2 linked regions of the Macaca fascicularis genome follow. The protein of the gene in region 2 interacts with the protein of the main gene of each other region in a biochemical or structural test. Links are inferred from orthologs where the notes say so. Each region holds a gene or a part of one and is shown on either strand. Other genes may lie near its edges. The genes, in order: PRKCD and STAT1.

What was found.
Region 1: of the proteins of STAT1 (region 2) and PRKCD, one has a biochemical effect on the other in vitro, tested with the Homo sapiens proteins (2 studies listed by BioGRID). The link is inferred for Macaca fascicularis from reciprocal best matches to the Homo sapiens genes STAT1 and PRKCD.

What each region holds. Positions count from the first base shown.
Region 1 is NC_088376.1:116,293,151-116,304,432, reverse strand, and holds the start of PRKCD (protein kinase C delta type), read right to left. Parts: upstream 6,261-11,282; 5' UTR 6,041-6,260; intron 5,231-6,040; exon of another isoform or gene 5,105-5,230; intron 2,518-5,104; exon of another isoform or gene 2,406-2,517; intron 1-2,405.
Region 2 is NC_088386.1:86,679,128-86,689,614, forward strand, and holds part of STAT1 (signal transducer and activator of transcription 1-alpha/beta), read right to left. Parts: intron 10,183-10,487; exon of another isoform or gene 9,891-10,182; intron 8,523-9,890; coding exon 8,430-8,522; intron 6,903-8,429; coding exon 6,843-6,902; intron 4,315-6,842; coding exon 4,285-4,314; intron 4,194-4,284; coding exon 4,100-4,193; intron 2,905-4,099; coding exon 2,863-2,904; intron 1,646-2,862; coding exon 1,562-1,645; intron 990-1,561; coding exon 891-989; intron 1-890. UniProt on the Homo sapiens protein: Signal transducer and transcription activator that mediates cellular responses to interferons (IFNs), cytokine KITLG/SCF and other cytokines and other growth factors.

The sequences.
Region 1 (11,282 bases), on a different chromosome or scaffold from region 2:
CTTTGCATATGTTATCTGTCATTTCTGCTCAACCTCATCAAGATGGATGCTATCATCTCATCTGTCGGGGGAAACTGAGGCACTAAGAGGCAAAGCCACTTGCCCAGGCTCATTCATAGAGCTGCTGGGAGCTGCCTAGTCACTGAGATGCAGCCCAGCCATCACCACTCTCAAGGGGGCCATGACTACCAGAGCTGATGCTCTTGAGCCTCGGCTTACAGGGTCAGAGCAAGAAAGGTGCGGGGACGAGAAAGTTGTGGAGACTGCAGGGGACTTCATGACCTGGCCCCTGCCCTTCTCCTAGAGCCCCCGAAAAAAGCCTGGGCAGCCCTGGCAGTGAAAAGCCTGGTCAGTCAGCCTAACCCGGTGGCCAGATGCTGCTCCCCTGGGCAGGCAAGGCAGGGGTGGAGCAAGGCGTAGAGCTGCGGACGGAGGGCTGGTCAGTCCCACTCCAAAACCACTTCCTGGGCAGCCCAGAGGAAGTGAGCCTCCGGAAACGCCTCGGACAGACAGGCCCAGCCTTTGGGAAGTGAACAGACCGCCCCTGCCAACCTCTTAGTCCCTAGAGCCCAGCAACTCCACTCCCTCTAGCCATGGATGCTGTGGGGGACACAGGCGTTGTGATAGGACCCCCACCCACTGTGGGCACACTGGCCTCATGGCCAGAAAGCCTACTTCCTCTGCCGTGGCACTAGGCACACGGTGCTGGCACAGCTGACACGCATCTCCCCTGCACTCGTATCTCCCATCTCCCATCTCCCATGCCAAGCCCTGGTCGGCCTGGAGCCTGGGGCCAGGTGGGAGGGTGGCTGCTGAATGCATGGGCAGAGCCCACCTACCAGGGTGGCCCAGCCCCCCTTAACCCCCTGAGATCACAGCCACACCTGGAACTTCCCCCTCAGGTGCCAGATGCAGGCGACCTTGCTGGGCTGTGACTCTGACCAGGGCCCCCCTTCCTGACCCCAGAATGGGCACAGTGTGGTATGTGTGGGAAGGCATTTGAGTGCATGGATGCCAATGGTAACTGGGAGATCATCTGTGTGTGCGTGAGTGTGCCATGGGTGGCTGCATGTGAGCACCTGTGTACCTGCACGCCCACATGGGTGGTGCACGCACTCATGAGTCTGTGGGTGTGCATGGCCACTGCAGCCTGGCTTGCCATATCCCTGTGTGAGCACGCATATGTCTGTGCAGCAGGCGGGTGATGTCTGAGGATTTACCGTGGGCTGTCTCCAAGACTAATCAAACTCCTTAGAAAACAAGGCTGAGTGACAGAAAGGGCTGGCTCTTCAGAACTCCGGTGGCAGAGGCCCCTACACAGCCAAAGGCACTTCACTTCCTCCACACCAGGTTTAGGGATAGGTCCAATACACAGAAGGCCCAGTGAAGACGACTCCTGTTCTGCCCCAACTCCTACCCCAGGAGTGAGGGCCCTGACCTCCTTTCTGCCCCCTAACCCAGAGTCAGGCCCAGGAAGCCCAGCCCTTATGGCTCTACTCACAGACCTATAAGTGTGTAACAGCCAGTGGGGTTGGCTGCGGTGGTCTGCTCAGGGAGCGCTCCTGGAGGAAAGACGGTCTTTGCTATCCCCCCACTGTCACTCCCAGGCTCAAGCTTCATTAGCACCCATACCCACCACCAGAACCCTGCTCACTGGGGCCCAGTCACCCAGTCACCAGCCTGGAGTGAGTATGGAGTCACCCACAGCAGTGTTTTCATGGTAATGGGGCTGAAGGAGGCAAGGCTTGCCCCAAAACGAGGAATTTCCAGCTTTCTGAGGCTCTTCAGAGAGACTGCAGCCTTCCCAGCATTGTTCCAGACTCTGCCTAACTCCCCTTGAATTTGGAAGCTGACGAGAGGGACTGAGCCCTGCTCGGGCTCTAGAGAAGTGGGGAAAATGGAGGGGCCTGGGGTGTGGAAGACAGCTCAGCTGTACCTGGAGACCCCATTCCATCCCCCCGCAGCGTCCAACTCACTGTGGGGCCCACGGGGAATTTCAGTGTCCTTGTGTGACGATGAGGACAGTTGGAGGCAGATACAGGGCCAAGGAAAAGCTGATACATCCACCCTCAATCCTTGGCCCACGAGCCACCCTCTCTCTAACTGACCAAAAAAGTGTTACTACTTCTTGCCCCAAACTCATGGTAGGCCCCAGGCCTCTGAGCTCCAAGGCGAGAGCATTCGGGGCCAGAGCCAGGTTCCAGGCGGGAAGTTCCTCATGAGCAGAGAGCCCCTCCATAGACAGGGCAAACAGCTGCGGCCCCTGGGCACATAGGGCCCACAACCAGATCAAGGACTCTGCATGCATGCCCAACCCCATCCAGTCCCACAGCAAAGGACAGGGAGGACAGAGAGGAAGGCCACGCCTGAGCACCGTCCATCTGCCTAAGAGAACTCAGTCCTACCTGGGGCTCCCAGCTCCCGCTTGTCCTTAGTCCTGGCTCCTGCTGCTGCTGCAACGCACCAACCACCAGGAGAAACCGGCCTGCACCCTTGCCTGGCCAGTTCCCTGCAGACCTGCAGGAACAGGAGGAAACAGCTGAACCGGGAGGCACCGCCAAACAGGCTCTCCCCATCTGCCAGTCCCGGCATGGCTGACAGGCCCAGTTCAGTCTCTCCTGGCCCTAAAACCTTGGGTCTCTCTGGATGTGGCTTTCCCTTCCTTGAAATGTAGTGTTGGGTCCAACTTTTCCTGGACACCACTATGTGTCCATTCCATGTTAGGGGCTGGAACACTGTGTCCCTGCCCTCAGCACATTTCCAGCCTGGTGAGGAAGCCAATAACACAGCAAAAACCTGTTCCCGACTCTCCTGTCTGCGGGAGGTTGCCCTGCAGGCTTAGGAGTCCTAGGGTGCAATGAAGTACCACACCACTTTATGGCCTGGGGCAATTCCTCTGAGCCTCAGTTTTTTTAATGGAGAAACTGCTAGCCCCCTCTCCCCAGGTGGTTCTGAGGTTCCAATGATGTGGCGTGCAAGCTCCTGTGCTGGACTCACGTTGAGAATGCCAAATGACTGATTTTTTTTTTTTTTTTTTAATGTGGCAGGGTCTCGCTCTATCGCCCAGGCTGGAGTGCAGTGGCACAATCTTGGCTCACTGCAACCTCCACCTCCTGGTCTCAAGTGATTCTTGTGCCTCAGTCTCCTGAGCAGCTGAGATTACAGGCGCGCACCACCGCGCCCAGATAATTTTTGTATTTTCAGTAGAGACAAAATGTTGTCCAGGCTGGTCTCAAACTCCTGACCAAGTAATCTACCGCCTCGGCTTCCCAAAATGCTGGAATTACAGGTGTGAGCCACTGTGCCCAGCCTGAAGAGTGACATTTTTTAATCTCTTGTTTTGTGCATTATAGTTCAGGTGATTCTCACGTTACTATTGTGCCCATTACACAGCTGAAAAAACTGAGGCCTGGAGATATCCTGGAAGGAAGAAATGGCAAAGGTAGCAAGGAACTCTGTGTCTCCTGGCTGAAAGGCCTAAGCATTTTTTCTGACAGCCAGCTCAAGCCTCTAAGAAAGATTCTGCTCCCCAGATGTGAGCCCCTCCCCCAGCTGGAGACCCTCATCACCATTCCCTGGGGATAGAGGCATCCTTGGCTTTATCTTTTCGTCTGTACTTTAAATTATTTCTAATTTTAATCTAAACTGTGCCAGCTAAATGGTGTCAGCGCCCTGCAGTCACAGCTCTGAATCACTCCCCACCCCTCTCTCCCCCATTGCTGCTACTGACACTAACGGCTGGTGAGGGAGGGGCTGTCATGCAGGCTGAACAGGGCTGGGTACTAGGGGCTTTGTCTGGGCATCCTCCCTCCCTCAAGCTGCTTGGTCAAGGAGATGGGAAGGGGCAACAGACAGGCAGGAAATTGGGTTGGATACTGTCTGGGCTTTCTTTAACCCCAGCTCCCAGGAGAATGGGAACCATATAGCCGGGGGTGGTGACAACATAAGACTTCAGGACCTTTTGTCCACACAACTTTCTCCATTCTGCAGATAAAGACACTCAGCCTTGAGAGGCCTAGCTTGGGTCTCTTGCTCTTAACAGGCACAAGCAAGTATTGGAGCCCAAATCATTCTTGGATCCAGAGCCCGAGGTCTTGGTCACAACACTGCTAACCCCAAGACTTGCCCTCTAGCCCTCTCCATGTGCACACCCACATCCTCATGGTCTCCCACACACTCACACACCCATACTGGGCTCTCACCTTCCCTCCCAGCACTGTCACCACACACCTTGTCACACCCCCTCCTGCCGCTAACACCCACGCCCAGGCACTCTCCGTTCCCCACAATCACAGTCACTCCCCAAGCATAGACTGTGTCCCACCAGTCACACACTCCTACCATGACCACACACTGCCAGGCTTACCCCAGTACCGTCCCATCCCATAGTCCTCACACCACCCCTCAGCCAGGTACAGCTGCCCAGACACCTCCACACCTCTCTGTCTCACACACACACACAACTGCACACATCACACATGCGCCATACAGCCTCCCTCTGTTGGCCTGCCCACCGCGCCCCAGCTCACTCCACAGTAGGAACGAGGAAACCCCAGGGATCAGTCCCCTCCCTTAGTGACCAGGTGAGCCTGGTCACAGAAGCTCAGTGGCAGAGGGAGAGCCACACATGAGTACACGCACATACACACACTCATACAGATACACTCACACATGAGCCTGGTGGGCAGGCACCCAACACCAGGGGCTTCCACAATTAACAGATCTAAGGTACTTGTGGGCAGTTGGTCACCATGATATACCCAGTATGCAACACTGAAATCTCCAGACACACAGGGACACACACACTGGCAGACAAGGACACACACACACACACAAGTCTGGTGACAACAAAAACACCAAGAATGGTACACACAGTTGCAAAAGACACACACAGAGCCTCAGGACACAAACAGACATACACACATACACACAAGCAAGCCACACATGCGAAAAAGGACACACATGCACAGGCAAGTCCCACAGTGACAGCACAGAAGCTGACACAGACAACCCACACACCCAGATACCAGTGACTTAGCACAAGGAGATAGCGTCCATGCATACAGGGTAGGCATCAGAGAAGGGGACCCCCCCACACACTCACAGCAAATCCTTCTGACCAGGTTTAAGTGGGGGCTCAGTGGGGCTCTCCTGTGCCCCAAGAGTGAGGGAATTGGGGAAGTGGGAGCAGTTCCGATGGTGCTCTCCTTCTGCCTCTCCACCACCAGCCAGGAGGACTTCCCCCTCCCTCCCCTCACCTGGCAGAGCCCCCACAACGCGAGTGGCATCTGGGTTGGGGGCGGGTGCAGACCACACCGGGCAGGGGCCACCCTGGGAAGGGGTCTCAGAGGGGCGGAGGGGTGGGGCAGTAAGGGGGATGGTGGAGACTGGAGCCACGCCCAGCCCAGAGACGGATGAAGGGACCGAGAAAGACTCTTGAGACCGAAAGAAGAGACAGCGAGGAGGAGGCGCCGCGCGAGTCGGGCCTCCAGGGACCCAGGGGCGGGAGGCGAGGCCCGGCGGGCGGCCTGGCCTGGGCTCCGCGGTAGAGCGGATAGGCGGCTGGACCGGCAGGGGGCGGCAAGCGTGGGCCGGGGGCGCGGCTCCGGGAGAACGGGATCGAGGGGGCGGCCGGCGGGGGTAAGGGTGGGGGTGGGGCGATGGAGCACGCGGAGGGCGAGGGACAGACGGATCGGGTCTCGGAGAGGCGCGCAGGGGGAGAACACAGAGTGGGTGGCGACAGACGGACGGTCACAGGGCCCAGGAGACAGTCGGGAAGGACGGACGGGCCTCTCGGAGGAGCGGGAGACACACGGGCGGGCGGACAGAAAGACCTCAGCCCCCACTATCTGGCGGAGGGACGGACAGACAGACGGACGGGGGGACGGAGTCACCGGCATGTCTCGGCGCGGAGGGACTTTCGCTGACCGCGGCTCAGTTTCTCAGTTTCGGAAACGGGAACCGGGCCGGGGAGGGGAAGAAAGGGCGTCGCGCCCTCGGGGTAGCCCCGATCCCGCGCCGGGTCCCGGCCCTAACTCACCTCCCGGCGCAGGGGCAGGCGCCAAGGGTCGCGGCGGCGGTGGCGGGCGGGCGGCTCCTTGGCGCGCGCGGACGGCGGTCGGCGCGGCGCTGACTGGGACGAGTCCAGCGGCCAGTGAGGTGTGGCCCGGGCCTCGGCACGGCGGGCGGGCGCCGGGGGTCGCTCGGGGGATCTGGGCTGCAGCAGCCTCGGGCTCCGGCGCCGCGGCACACGGAAGTGCGAGGGGGCGGGGCGGCGCGACCTCACCCAGGTGCCGCCGGCCCCGCCCCCTCCAGGCCCCGCCCCTCCAGGCCCCGCCCCACCAGCTGCAACCGGGGACTGTGTCCCTCTGCCTCTTTCTGCGCGGGACACTGAGTCTCCCGGCCCCTCTGCCCTCTGTGGCCCGCTTCGCATCCTCCCGCCATTACGCGCAGCCAGCCCTCAGAAGGGGCCCATTTTACAGAGGAGGCCGCTGAGGCCCGATAAGGAGGCGCCCCCCGCCCGCTGGGGCCTGGGAGGCGCCGGCGGGGGTTCCCCCGCTCCCCACACCCACGCCCGGGACTCCCCACTAGCCAGCTGGCCCGCCTCCCTTGGCCCCACTCCTGCTCTTCCTGTTGGCTGGAACTCGGACGCGGCCGGGCTCGGTGCCCGCCGCCAAGCCCGCTGTCCCGGCTCTGCCCCAAAGACTGAGCTGGTTACACTCCAGGGCCGGAGGTTCTCGCTGGTCGGCCGCTGCACTGCTCCTCAGGCGGTTCTGGGACCTGCCCCTACCCCGACTGGCAGTTGCCCCTACCCCGATTGGCAGTCTTCTGCTCTCCTGCCCCCATCTTCGAGACCTCTCTATTGCTCCTGGCAGGCGCCTGAGCCTCCTTTCCAGACGTGGAACTTGGTTGTCAGCCATAACTCATTCATTCATTCATTCATACACTCATCCATCTATTCATCGAGTGTCCCCTAGGCTCAAAGTCTAGGGACCAGTTGGGGTTCTAGGGTGTCCATTCCCCTGTCCCCAGAGCTCAGAAAGCCAAGACATTATTCTTATACTGATCCAAAGAAATGTCACTTCCCAGGAGACAAAAAAGAGGGTTCCAGGTCCTGGGGAACCACCTAGAAGGGATAGGGAAAGTCTAAACACAAGGGATGGAAGTGGGGGACAATCCCAGAGGTGGCCTGAGCTGAGAAAGGGGCTTGTGACAGAGACAGGTTATTGGACTTTGGTCTTCTTACGGAGCAATGAGAAGGTGGTGAAAGCTGTTACAATCAGTCAGGACGACAGGCTCTAGAGGGCTCCTGCGGGATAGATGGGGCAGAGGGACTGCAGGGCAGAGGAGAGGCTGGATGGGGGACAGAAGGGCTGCCATGTTGTCAGCCACCTGGGTTGAGATTGGGGAAGATGGATGGGGAGAAAAGGTCAGACCAGGTGGGTTCCAGGACTATCCTTTGGGAAAGACATTTTTCTCTTCACACCCAGGCCTTGAGCATGCTGTTCTCTGGGCCTGAATGCCATTTCCCACCCCACCCCCAAACCTCTACCTGCCCTGGTTGTGTCCATTCAAATGCCCCTCCTGCCTGATGCCCAGTTGTAATGCACAGCACTTCCCTGAGCGAAGGACCATATTCATTAGCATGTTCTGTGTCCTGATACCATCCCACCCCACCCATCATGCCCCATGGCTTCCCTGGGGTTGGACTGGAGGAAAGGGTGCACAAGGTGAGCCTCAGGTGACCTTTGCCCACTTGGGATCAGGTTTCCTTCTGGCTCCTCCTTCAGGTTCACAGTAAGCCAACCCAGCCTCTCCCTCAACATAAACAATAGGCCCACCCTGTGCCAGGGACTGCAGCCAGAGGGAGGACTGACCCTTGTGGAGCTCCAGGTCCAGCCACCAGACCTTTGTGGCCTCCAGGTCCAGGCACCAGACCTTTGTTCCCACTCCCTGTGGTTCACCTTGGAAGAAGGAAATGAATAATCATGGCTATCGCTGATAGGGGCTACCCAGCACCAGGCTGTGTGCTGGGTGCTGGATGTGTGCAGTCGGAACAGTTAAGAGGTGAGGGCTACTGTTAGTGCCAGTTTTGGTGATGAGCAAACAGGCTCAGGGAAAGGAGAAGCGACTTGCCCCAGAGTACACAGCTAGTCAGTGGCAGAGGTGGATTCAGACTGAGGTCTCTCTGCCTCCAAAGCCCATAGTTTACATCAGGGATCTCAATTCCAACACCACTGACCTTTGGGACAGATGATTCTTTGCTGTGGGGGCTGCCCTGTGCACTGTAAGGATGTTTAGCAGCATTCCTGGCCTCTGCCTACTGGATGCCAGTAGTACCTCCCTGCTTTAACTTGTGACAGACAAAAATGTCTCCAAACATTGCCAAATGTCCGCTGCAGGGCAAAATTACCCCTTGTTGAGAATCACTGCTTTGACATATTCTGGTGTTACAGGAACAAGATTTACATTAGACAACAGGAAGCACTTTCCTGATCCTCAGGATATGCAGACTTGTGAGCTCAGGGGCTGCAAGCACACACTGGCTTCAGCCAATCTCTCTCCTCTGGAGAAAGGGGAAGTGTGATGTACTCAGAGGGGGGCAGAGGGGCTAAGGCTGTGCTGGCTATGCTGTGGCAAGGGCAGAGAAGGGATGAAGGTGGGCTTCCCTCCAGGCCTTAGGTCCAAGGGCCCCAGGGAGAACAGGTTTGCATGAGGTCCAGAGAGTCCAGGCCACGCTTGACTAGAACCAACCTGCATCTTGGAGCTGCTTCTGGGTGCCACACTGGTGGGCCAGGGCAGGGTCCAGATGAGCTGGTATCTGTGTCCCCATAATCTGCCTGGCATCAACAAGAAGGGCCTGCTGAAGCCTGAGAGCAAACCTTGGCTGTGTCACATGCTAACTGTATGGCCCTGAGTAGGTGACCGTGCCTCTCCCAGCTTTGGAGTTCTCACCTATGAAGAGAGCTGATGACAGACTCATGTCAGAGGTTGAATGAGATGATAAGGGTTAAATGAGATGATATATACAGAGCCTCAGCCAGGCTAAACACATTGCCCAGGGTTACAGCCTGTGACCTGGCATGGTCATGTGCCAAGTCATAGGCCGTCAGCCTTGAAAGAGCCTTCAATGGCCTCTCATGACATGGGACGTAAATCCCTGAGCAGGGCTAGACTCATAGCAGCTGCCTAGAGGTGGTACTTTTCCTCTTCCTCCAGGTTTGCAGCCAAGGAGATGGGCTAGGGGTGGCGCCAGGCAGCTTCCAGACTCCCACCCACGGCATCCACCCAGGGCTGTTCCCTCTGTGGACCTCCTGGAGGATTTATCCAAAGGAGAAGCAGCTTGACCCCTGTCACTTCTGCCTCCTCCAAAGGCCATGAACCCTGGGAGGCCTCCAGACTCCTCCACTCCTGAAGTCCAAGACTCGGCCAAGCAACCTGGAAAAGCCCTCCCTCTGTCCCTGAGGCCCACACAGCTGAAGGCAAATGGGGTCCCTCACTTGATCCCTGCCAAGAGTTGGTCCTTGTCCTGGCCTCTCTGCCTTTTGCACCTTCTCTCTGTTTCTGTCTCTCTGTGTCACCATCCTTGTCCCTGAAGCTTTGGTTGCCACGGCAATCCCCATCACACCCAGAGCACTGGCCTGGCCAAGACAGAGTGGGCTTGTGTTTCTGGAGCAGGAGACACAGTCAACAGTGGTAGTGCACCTGGGCAAGAGCCTGGGAGGTGCCCACTGGGGACAGTGTAGTAGGAAGGACACTTGGGACATGCCCATGCCTCAGGCCACCAAGACTGTCATCAACAGGAGTGTCAGCCTCAGGCACTAGGTTAAACACAAGCAAGGACAGGCTGAGGGGACAGTGGCCTTGTGGGTAGTACTGCATAGCAGGGAAGTGCCAGGCCAGGGGCTGGTTCACATCCTGGCTGTGCCCCGCACTGCAGCTTAAATGTGCCTCAGCTTCCTCATCTGTGAAGTGGAGTTTGGTAAGATCGACCTCCTGAGGCTGAGGGGATGGAAGAGTTCAAGTTCATCCCATGTTGGTGTTACCTGCCAGGCAGAGAGTTAGTGAGGCTGGGCTAATTGCCTCCATGTTCCTTCCTCAACACATTTGTGTTTGGGTGAAACCTGAGACATACTTGGGGGTAGACAAGGGGAAGGTGCGTCCTGGGAGTGCAGAACACAGGGCTTTCCTGTGGCTCTCCCGGGTTGTGTACCCTGGACTGTCCCTTCTCTGCACTGAAAATGGCATAGCTCCTGCCAGCCTGAGTCCCCTTTCCTGGCTCCTCTGCCCCGCCCCCAAACGTGTGTGTAGGTGGGGAGAAGGGGCACTGGTGTTGCGATAGTCATCAGTAAGAGCCATTCCCTCGCACGGAGGCCAGGGGACCTCCCAGCTCTCCTCCACTGCCCCCACCCACTCAGCTCTGATTTACAGGGTCCCTACTGGGAGGCTCTTGGGGCTTAATCACTCACGGTGGGGAGGTAGGGCAGGGAGGGCTATGAGCCTCACTCACCTTTCCTTTCGCTCCCTGGCCTGAGGGTGCCTCAGCTCCCTGTCCCCACCCCTCAACCCCCCATCCTCCACATCCTCAGAGGACAGCTCACTAAACCCAGCTTGGCCCATGGCAAACAGTGTGGGGGGTGGCCCTGAGCTGAAAGGCAGCCGCTCTAGGTGGGCAGGCTGGGAAGGACTGACTGCAGGCACAGCAGGGTCCCCCAAGCCATGCACACACCTCCATACTCAGAGCACAGTCGCGCACACGCTGGTCGGCGCGACTCCCGTGCACCAGCACAGAGAGGCCTCCGGGGCCCCGCCCTCCCCGTGCCCGCCCCGCCCCAGGGAAGCCTTTCGGAGCCCGGGACGGAGACGCACGCCCAGCCGGGTGACGGGTGACGCAAGCCCCACTATAAAACACCCGGCTCTATTCCCGGGTCCGGCAGCCACCTGGCTCCAGCCGTCTGGTGGCGCCTTTGCCTCCTCGCCCCCTTTGTTCTCCTTCCAGGAAAGTCAGGAATACCCCAGCTCACCCATTCCTTGGATGGCGCAACTGAGGTCCTAAGTGTGAGGGTTGTCTGGGGCACTACAGCTGGCCTCCTAGTGGGAAACTCTGAGAAGACCTTGAGGACTGGGGGCTGGATATGGAATGAGAGGTGAAGAGGGAGAGTCACTGAAACCTAGAAAAGTAGCCACACACGTTGGCCGTTCTGATTTAAAAAAAAAAAAAAAAAAAAAGTAATACATGTCTATTACAGCAAGGAAGACAGAGACAAGTTTACCGAGGAAAG
Region 2 (10,487 bases):
ATGACGTCTTTGGGGTCATCTGAAGACACACCCATGCACACAGCAGCAAAGAATTTGAGTCTTTTAACACTTATGTTTCCAACTGAAGCCAAACAAAATGACACTCGCTTCCTGTTTCAGCTCTCATAAGAAAAACGTGTCCTTTTTGAAGCCTATTTAGTGCCATGTTTTTGCATTTTGTGATTGCTGTTGGTGATCACTGTTTAAAATGGTGCCCAAGCATAGCGCCACAGTGTGGTATACTGTTCCTAAGCACGGGAATGCTGGGATGTGCCTTATGGAGAAAATACATGTGTGAGGCAAGCTTCACTCAGGCGTGAGTTACCCAGTAATCCTGACTATAGGTGTAATGTTAATGCCTCAGCAAGTATATTAGATAAGGTGTCTTTAAACAGAAACACACATAAACAATGTTATGCATTGATGGGGTGACAAAAATGTTGTGACCAGAGGCTTGAAGGAACCTAGCCTTGTAGTTCCCTTAGGAGCAACAATTCATTATTTGCTAATTAAGTGTTCCTGGTAACTTCAAAAAACATAACTACTTTGAATAATGATAATGACTATAATTAATTAACAGTGAGTATCCACACTCTTAAGAATGGAGCATGCTTGTTTAGTAGATGTACACATTTTAAAAATAATAATGATGAAGTGGTATGGAATCACTGAGTGCCCTAGCTTACTCACATGGCAGAAAAATCATAATTCTCATTTCAAATACATATCCATGCTTCACATTCCCAGATTTACTCAAAAGCCTTAGAAATACCACAGGAGCTTTGTCACTTCTCCCTCAACAACTGGCCATTGGGGCTATTTCAGAGATGCAGCAGCGAGAGCATGGGGTCTGCTTAACCCTGGGACCAAAGCAAATGTATTTTCCATACCCTGGGTTCCGCCACCAGCATGTTGTACCAAAGGATGGAGGCCCAACCACTCGGGAGCTGGCTGACGTTGGAGATCACCACAACGGGCAGAGAGGTCGTCTAAAGGATGACAAAGACCTTGAAATCATCTGAATCACAGAAATGTCACCTTCAGATAACTGCTTAGCCTCAACTAAAAGCAGGGGATTATTTGTAAATTTGTACATATTTAATACTTGAAAATGAGAAATGTTAAGTTCTGTTCTTTTGTCCAGTTTAATTTGTCTTTGATATATCTTTCAGTTAAGAAATAAGTCCCTAAAAATAATAATAGCTACAATAACTAATTAAGGGGTATGCAATATGAGAAGATGAAAATTGTCACAATGAAAACACAAAATGTGGAGGGAGGGCAGAGGAAAATAAATAAGTCCTAATGCTTACTGTAAAAAAAATTAACATCAGCTATCTCAACTGGAACATTTAAGTTATAGAATTTGAAGGTTAATTCAATTCTCTAGCTTTCTGGACCATAAATTAAGGTTAAGGTAGTAGTAGCTGAAAAATATCATTTTTAAAACAATTAGGTAAATATCTCTAAAACAAAAACTGAGAAATAAAAATACACGTAACAATTAAAAGTAAAAATAATGAAGTTTTCCACCTCAGGACCATAAAAATAAAAGTCTTACCTCGAGGTCAATTACCAAACCAGGCTGGCACAACTGGGTTTCAAAACTAAGGGAGTGAAGCTCTTCAGTAACGATGAGAGGACCCTTGGAAGAGAAAAGGAAAGAAGAAAAGAATATAACCACTTATTCACAGATCCTGAAACTTTCAAAAGCCCAATTAACATTGCAACAGGCCACAGAGATCCTGGACCCAACCAGCAGCAAGTCCAAAGACTCAATATTGAATCCCTTCCAGATTTAATGATTCTGAGTATCAGTGTGCTCTGAAAGATAAGTGCCTGAAGTTATGGCAAGGATTATAGATTCAGAGCAATAAATGTCAATGGGGAAAGAGCAACTAATGGCTTTGTGACCTAAGGCTTCTCAACCCTCAGCTCTGTCTGCCTGCCCAGTGTGGCTGCACATCTCAATGCAGATGGGTGGGGAGGAGGTGAGAGGGCTGGGAGTAAGTGCACACTTGGGATTGTCTACTGCCTACCAGAAAGGCTGACTCACATCAACTTGGTAGGTCACAAGGTGCTTTGGTTTTGGTAGAAATGGATAGATTTCAAAGTGCCTTCATAGACATTACCTCATGAGAACCTCACAACTTAGAACTAGAGAGGTACAACTGCTAGACGCAGGGAGGTCAAAACAGTTCAGGTGCACACCAGGGCTAGAAGGCATCTTTGCACTGCCTGGGCCTGTGTGTGTCCCGCTGCTCCATGTGACCTCCACTGGTCCTGGTGTGGAAGGACTGCACGCTGTGTGTGCATAAAGGACGAAAGTGTTCTAAACCAAAACAACTCCAGATATTTCATCCTTTGTCCATAGTTCATTTCTGAATGCATCACAAACCCAACTTCTTAAGGATCACGTTGTAGGAAGGAAACTGATGCAAAGGCAATGCTTCTGGTAGGGGATGCCACGGCCAAAAAGCCCTCTTGGCACACAGCAAGGCAGTCATCAAAGTGGCCTCTCATTCCAACTCTGACAGTAACTCTCTGTGCACCCTTAGCTAAATCCTGCAAACTTCCTGTGACTCAATTTCTTCACCCGTAAGATGCGAAGAATACAAAAGCCCACAATAGCTACTCCACTGAGTGTCCAATGAATTTGTGTGCAAAATCGTTTGACAATAGTAAAGTACAAATGTGGTGTTTTTACTGTTGTCACAGATATACCAAGTACCCAGCTCACTTGCTGCTCTTCCCTGCTGGGTCTGAACTCCTCTGTGAGGTGTCCCCAGCCACCAACTGACCTGCCCTTGCTAGACAGACCTGCCTGATTTGGGCCCATTCACAACATAAAGAGACTCTCACCTCATTCGTTCTGGTGCCAGCATTTTTCTGTTCTTTCAATTGCTATAAAACAAATAATCATCTTATTAAACACCATGGTAATGGTCAAAGTTGCTATCTTCATTTACAAATGAGAACAAAGTTAGGACTAGAAAGAATGACAGACGTGACACTATCTTTAGAATGCAGAACATGGGACAAAATGGCCCTCGTTCTGGGTCCATGAGCAGAAGCACGTTTCCCCAGAGGCCTGATGGTGCAGACACCAGTCTGGAGGGATCTCTTGGAATCGCCACCGGCTCCTCTCCTGTGTTCAAACTTCCCCTGAATGATTCCCCCGTGCACCTTCGTTAGCTGTTTCATGCCCCGAGGCTCAGGGGACAGCTTCACCCTCCCCTTTCCCTCAGCAGAGTCCTCCAGGCTGGGCCCAGTGACTCCAGGTCCAAATGCCCTCAAGTGGACATCAATCCCTGAGCTGCCAAGGGAGCAGGCTGGGGCCCTGAGGGTGGCTCTGAACACCCTCAGGCAGCTGAGTTGGGCTAAAGCTTCCAAGTCAGGTAGAGCTTCCTAGCTAGGAGGCTTGCTGGATCACAAAGCGGTCTCTAGTGGAAAAGGATGCCTTTAACCTCCTGCAGGTTCTGAGCCCAGGGAGAGCTTTGGACGCAGCACCCACAGAGCCTCACAACAATTGGCAGCCCCTGTGTTCACAGAGGAGGAAAGATGGCACAGCCCACAGAGAGCACCCCGCTGGGTCTCTACTGCCTGGGGAATGAGCTCTACTGCCCTGGAGACAAGGTGGCAGAGTCAGGCTGCCGTGGAGGCAGGGGCTGTGGGCAGGGCCGCCAGGAAGGGGAACACAGGGGCTGAGGAGTGAACCCTGGAGTACGGGACCACACTTGGAGGGTGGGGGAAATCACAGTCAGGACACGGGAGCCATAACCTTTGAGAAAACTGCAAGCGTCTACAGTGAGTGACTGTGGGGATCATGCAGGCAGCAAGTGCAAATCATTTACGTATACACAGGCTTATAAATTGTTTTTACCGTGAGTGATACAGCCCAGAAAATGGAGTGAACAGTCATGGGATGAGGAGGAGAAATCAAAATGCCCCAAGTGCTGGTGACAGGAAGTCACCAGCCACAAAGTCTGCAAACCCCAGCAGGGGGGCGCCGTCCATATGGCAACGTGCCAAAAAGGGTCGCTCTGTTGTCAAAAGTCCTAAGAAACCAGAGACAAAGACAGGAAACTCATGTCCCTACCAGGTGCCGAAATTCAGCCGCCAGACTGCCATTGGTGGACTCCTCCATGTTCATCACCTTTGTGTGCGTGCCCAAAATGTTGAACTTCCTAAATCTATACGATATGGGAAAGAAATGCTGAAAAGTCTTCCAACTATTAAACAAATAAAAATATAGCACAGTGTAGCATAAAGTACATCACGTACCCTTTTACTGTATTTCTCTCATTCACATCTCTGCAAAAAAAAAAATATATAATCACATATGTGTATTTAAAATTTGAAATAAGCTTAAACAAAATTATAAGAGTATAAGAACATAAGAGTGTTAAGTGAATGATAAATAAAAAATAAATCTACACCTGTGGGTTTGCGGCCTTTCATTCACTCCCTGCCTCAATCTACCCATATTAGGTCTGGCAAGTATCACTGAATGACCTTGGGCAAATAAATGGTCTGGGCCTCACGTTGTTCATTTGCACAACATACTAACAGTGCCAACATACGGGACATTGTGAGGAATAAACTAGTTAATTCCTCACCAGTACACCCTCAATAAATGTAAGCACCAGCACCAGTACACCCTCAATAAATGTAAGCTATCGTTATTGTTCATTGGGCAGCTACTTGGTGCAAGGCCCTGCACTAAGCACTGGGTATCCAGCAGACAGCACTGCCCAGTTGTCACAAAGCTCAGAGGACTGCCAATGTGACCATTTAATCCTCATTTTTATTCTCTATGATCTTTAATGCTCTCATGAAAGTACCAGAAGAGTCAGTTATCTGGGATAAGTGGGAAGTTTAAGTTCAAAGTCTGAGGTTGAAATTTTGAAAGACTTTGCACTTTTATATCCAGTGATTACTTTGTCACGTTCTGGCCAAATAATGTATCCATGAGTGTCCTAGATGTAGACTAGAAATCATGGGCTCACTCACAGATCTATTAGTTCCCCTTCCTTTCCAATCTCAACCAGAAGTTTAATGCTTTTGCGAATGACAATCACCATTAGCTATGGGAGGGACCTATTTTCCTGTTTGGAAAAAAAAGAATTTAAAATAAAAAGAATAGTATGATAAAAGCTGACTTTTCAAAGCTAAGAAGACAGTCAGCTGGAACCGACAGAAAAGACACAGGGGCCTGAAGCAGCTGAGAGGAGCTGAGCTGACGCAGAGGACGGTAAACTGCAATGGCCACACGACCCTTGTGCTTCTTCCCTTTAGGAAGTAGGATGTATTTCCCTGTCCCCCGAATCTCAGCTGGCCTTGATTTGCTTTTAGCAACTGGATGGAAAGGAGTGATGCTATACACGTTCCAAGGCTAGCACTAACAGGCCTTGTTCACTTGGAACACTGTCACCGTGGGAAAAGCCCAGGCTAGCCTTTTTGAGATGTTTGAAGAAGGACCTGGTTATCCCAGCTGAGTCCCAGTCACGTAATAAGGCCTTGCTAGAGCACCTGGCTCCAACCACGCTAGCCCAGACCAGGACGACCTACAACTCACAGAATATGAGAAATGAGTTTTTGAGGTTTTAGCCACTACGTTTTTTTTTTTTTTTTGACAGTCTCATTCCATCACCCAGACTGGAGTGCAGTGGCATGATCTCAGCTCACTGCAACCTCCGCCTCCCAGGTTCAAGCGATTCTCGTGCCTCAGCCTCCCAAGTAGCAGGGATTACAGGTACACACCACCACACCTGGCTAATTTTTTGTATTTTTTGTAGAGACGGGGTTTCGCCATGTTGGTCAGGCTGGTCTCAAACTCTGGCTTACGTGATCTGCCCGCCTCAGCCTCCCAAAGTGCTGGGATTACAGGTGTGAGCCACCGCGCCTGGCCTAGCCACTAAGTTTTAAGAGTGGTTTGTTAGGGAGCAAAAGCTAACTGATATACCAAAGATGATGGCATGAAGACAAGGCACAGACCATGCTACAAGGAAGAATATTCTTATAGGAATGGGAAGAAGCAAAAAGCCAGAGGAAAATGATTTGAATGATCATAAATCACTTTTGAAACTTGCCACACCAGTATGTGACACAAGCTAACAAAAACATTAAATATGGGAGGGGTGGGAGGAGCCATCTTGTTCCTTAATGAGAGTGCCCAAGTCAGTGCCAGCCCAGGTCTAGAGTCTCAGGGCAAAATAGAATGGGGCTGCTCCACTTGGACTCCCATGAGATGCCCATTCCTGGGTTCCCACTGCCCAGAAGAGACAAGGGTGAATCCCACAGGCTCCACACAGTCTCCCCAAGATGCTGCTGATCTCACTCCAAAAAAACCCTCCAAATGACCACAGAATCACGGCAGCCTGGATATTCGGCCTCAGGTTGGATCAGGGGCCTCTCCTCTGGGGCTGAGCTAGAAGGAAGGGGTGGCATGCCAAGTCCAGCCACTTTGAAACTTGCTGATTACAATGTGATATGCATAAAGAGACACTCACTCTCTTGTTCAGTTATAGTCTAAAAAGGCTCAGGAATGTTGATAACAGCTCCAGGGGAAGCTCCCAACATCCACCAAGGGAGCTGCTGACTTAAATCTGCTGGGATCATTTGTGACGGCCCTGGTGGATCGGACTAGGAGTCTCTGCTCATATGCAGCATTGGCAGGACTCTGGGTTCAGCCCTGGGGCCCTAGGGAGGCAAACTTCCACCCAGTGTAGACCCTTCCACAGCTAGTGAATCTGCTTATCTAGTGCAGGAGTCTGTGCTTGAGTAACAAAATCAACATTTCAGTAGTACACGTATGTTACATAATATTAAAGATATCTTACTTATCAAATAAGACTTTGACTTTCAAATTATAATTCAGCTCTTGCAATTTCACCAACAGTCTGGAAAGAAAAATAAAAGCCATTACTAAAAAAAAAATTATCTGTTACAATTTATTTATTATGCCAATTCCCTATTAACGTTTAGATAAACCACTCCCCACCCCCGTTTTAGGGCATTACCAACAAGAAAACTGACAGTTTTGTAGATCTACTTAAATTTTTGTAAGAATAAATTCCTAGCCGTGGAATTGCTTAGGAAAAATTGTCACACTAATTCTGACAGGATGCAGCCCTGAGTTTACATTCCCACCAAAAGTTAATGAGGGTAGCTGTTTCCCTCCATAACCTTGCCAATATTGGGATTCATCACAATGTCGACCTTTGGCCAATTTATATGGGTGAAAAATAGCAAATGTTACTTTCTACTGAAACTTGTATCTAATCTTTGTCCTGTTGGGAGACAATAAAAACCATTGCCCATAATCAGAAAAAATAATGTCCCATCTATAGTCACCCCTGGGTAGTGTGGAAAGATGGAGGGCAGGTGAGGGTGTGTGCCTGTGCCCCACTGAGCTGGAGACCTTGGGAAGGAGACCCCAGGGCTCTGCCTGCTCCGTTCAGTGGAGCAGGTGGATGGGATCAGATTTCTACTGTCCCTTCCAGCTGCGAGTTCTAGAATTCCACGAGGGCTTGAGTGTGGCATTGTACACTACCAGCCAGGGAGGGTTAACCACAGACTTAAATCAGTAACACCCCAGAAAAAGGACCCGGTCCAACTCTGAAGGTCAGTCCAGTTCTTCATCATAAGAAGAATGCTTAAAGCAATGCGGCCATTCAACAGAAGAAAGTAAGGCCACATGTTCCTGGAAACACTTCTACAATTATTATTGAGGAGAAAGGGTACAAAACAATGTATATAGCCTACCCTGAGTTTTTTTAAAAAGAAATATGTCATATTTGTGTGTGTGTGTCTATATGAAATATTTGTGTAGACATGGAATCCTAATTTTTTAAAAAGGAAACATTATGTCATATTTGTGCGTGTGTGTTTCTGTATGAAATATGTCCTTGTGTAGACAAGGATAAAATCCTGGGAGGACAGACACTAGGTCATTTACTGTGGTGGTCCACAGATATTTATATCACGGACTGCTTTGAGAATCTGATGAAAGCTATAAATCCATTCATCAGAAAAAATGTACATATTATAAATCCACATTCATACAGTTTCTGGGGTTCATAAGGCTCAGGTTATAAGCCTATGCCCAAGAGGGGTGAGGCAGCCGGGAACTTTCACTCTCTATTACACACATTTCTGCAATTTGGAATTCTGTTTTCCTGTGAACATGCATTACATTTATGATTGGAAAAAAATCAGGAGTGTGTACATATATGTATATTGGTTACATTCTACTATGAGTATATTAATAAAAGACTCTCAGATATTCTCAGTAAGCGTTCATATTAAAATGCCCCCTGAAAAATTATTTCCTCAAAAGTACCCTCAATAACAGTTTTTATAAAAGGAAACTAGGGGTACAAACTACATGACAGGCGATGTATGGGATGCCATCTTTCCCTTGTTACCTCAACTTCACAGTGAACTGGACCCCTGTCTTCAAGACCAGCGGCCTCTGAGGGTGCGTTGGCATGCAGGGCTGTCTTTCCACCACAAACGAGCTGCAAATACCCAGCAAAGGATAGATAAGTTAGCATTTCCATTAAGGTTGAGGCAGTCACAATGATTTTCCCAAAAGAAAAAAGGGGGTTAGAGAGTACAACCTAAAAAATAGTTTGAAAGATTCTGACAAGTTGGATGAACAAATTGATATTTTCTAATTAGTAAAGAAATCCCAAAACCTAACAAGGACTTAACAGAAACAGAATAATCGTAATGATCTATGAAACTATTACATTGAAACAAACTTATACAATGAAGGCTAGGCACAGTGGCTCATATCTGTAATCCCAGCACTTTAAGAGGCTGAGACGGTAGGATTGCTTGATCCCAGGAGTTCAAGACCAGCCTAGGCAACATAGTGAGACCCTATCTTTACGAATTTTTTTTTTTTTAATTAGCCAGGCATGGCTAATTAGCCCCAACTACTAGAGGGCTGAAGTGGGAAGGTCACTTGAATCCAGGAGGTGGAGGCTGAAGTGAGCCATGATCACACCACTGCACTCCAGCCTGGATGACAGAGTGAGGCTCTGCCTCAAAAAATAAAAATAAAAAAATAAAAAACCCATATTTAATTATGTTCATTTACATGTCAGAATTAAGAATAAAATGTGCACTCAAAGTACTAGTAATGTTTTTAAATTAAAAAAAAACTCAACATACAGGACTTCTTGTTTGAACATTAGCCATAGGGAACCAAGCAAATTTTTTTTTTTAGACAGAGTCTCACTCTGTTGCCCAGGGTGGAGCTCAGTGGTGTGATCACTGCAAGCTCCGCCTCCCTGGTTCACACCATTCTCCTGCCTCAGCCTCCTGAGTAACTGGGGCTACAGGTGCCTGCCACCATGCCTAGCTAATTTTTTTTTTGTATTTTTAGTAGAAATGGGGTTTCACTATGTTAGTCAGGAGTACATTTTTAAAAAATATTACTTCCAATAACTACGATATTTATTAAACATATCTTCAGTTGTTTTGTTACACAGTATGCAACAAATTACAATATTCTGCAGCCACAAATTATATGCAGAGTATGAAGAAGCTATTAATCAGATAGTGTAATCTTTCCATTTATAACTCTACAAGGAAGAACCAGCAAATCAGATCTTACATGTAACATCTCACTAAACTTTACGCATGGAAAGTGACAGACACTGCTTGTGCTATTTGATACAAAACAGCTGAACTTCGTCTTCAGAAGACTAGACCTGACATCTAAACACGCCAATATAAACATCAAAACAAAATATAGTCTAATCAACCATGAGAGAACAGTCTGATATCAGGAAAATACATTATTTTATAAACCAGCGCACAAAGGTTTAAAAACAGTTCTGAAAATGAAGTTCGCTGTTTTGAGTAAAGAGAACAAAAAGAAAGTCAGTATTGACCATTTACAATCTCTGACCTCTGTGGAGATGGTAAGAATCTGTTGTAGTGCAGCTACATACAGTATAATTCAGGCAATTCTGTTTTTTCACTTGGGTTCAGATTGCAAATTCATTACTGTGAGAAAAGGACGGAGGCAAATTTTAGCAGGAACCTCCACCTGATGCTGGACCAGAGTCCTCTGAATTTTAACACTGGACTTCTCAGCACCACTAGCTGTTGCTCCAGGACCCATTAGCTTTTTAATCTCAGCTGCCATCATCATGGAAGATTGTTCTACATTCATTGCATTTTCTTTTTTTTCTTTTTTTTCTGTTTTTGAGACAGATTCTTGCTCTGTCTCACAGGTTGGAGTGCAATGGCACAATCTCGGCTCACTGCAACCTCCACCACCTAGGTTCAAGCAATTCTCCTGCCTCAGCCTCCTGAGTAGCTGGGATTACAGGCGTCTGCCAGCATGCTCAGCTAATTTTTGTATTTTTAGAAGAGATGGGGTTTCATCATGTTGGTCAGGCTGCTCTCGAACTCCTGACTTCAGGTGATCCACCCACCTCAGCCTCCCAAAGTGCTGGGATTACAGA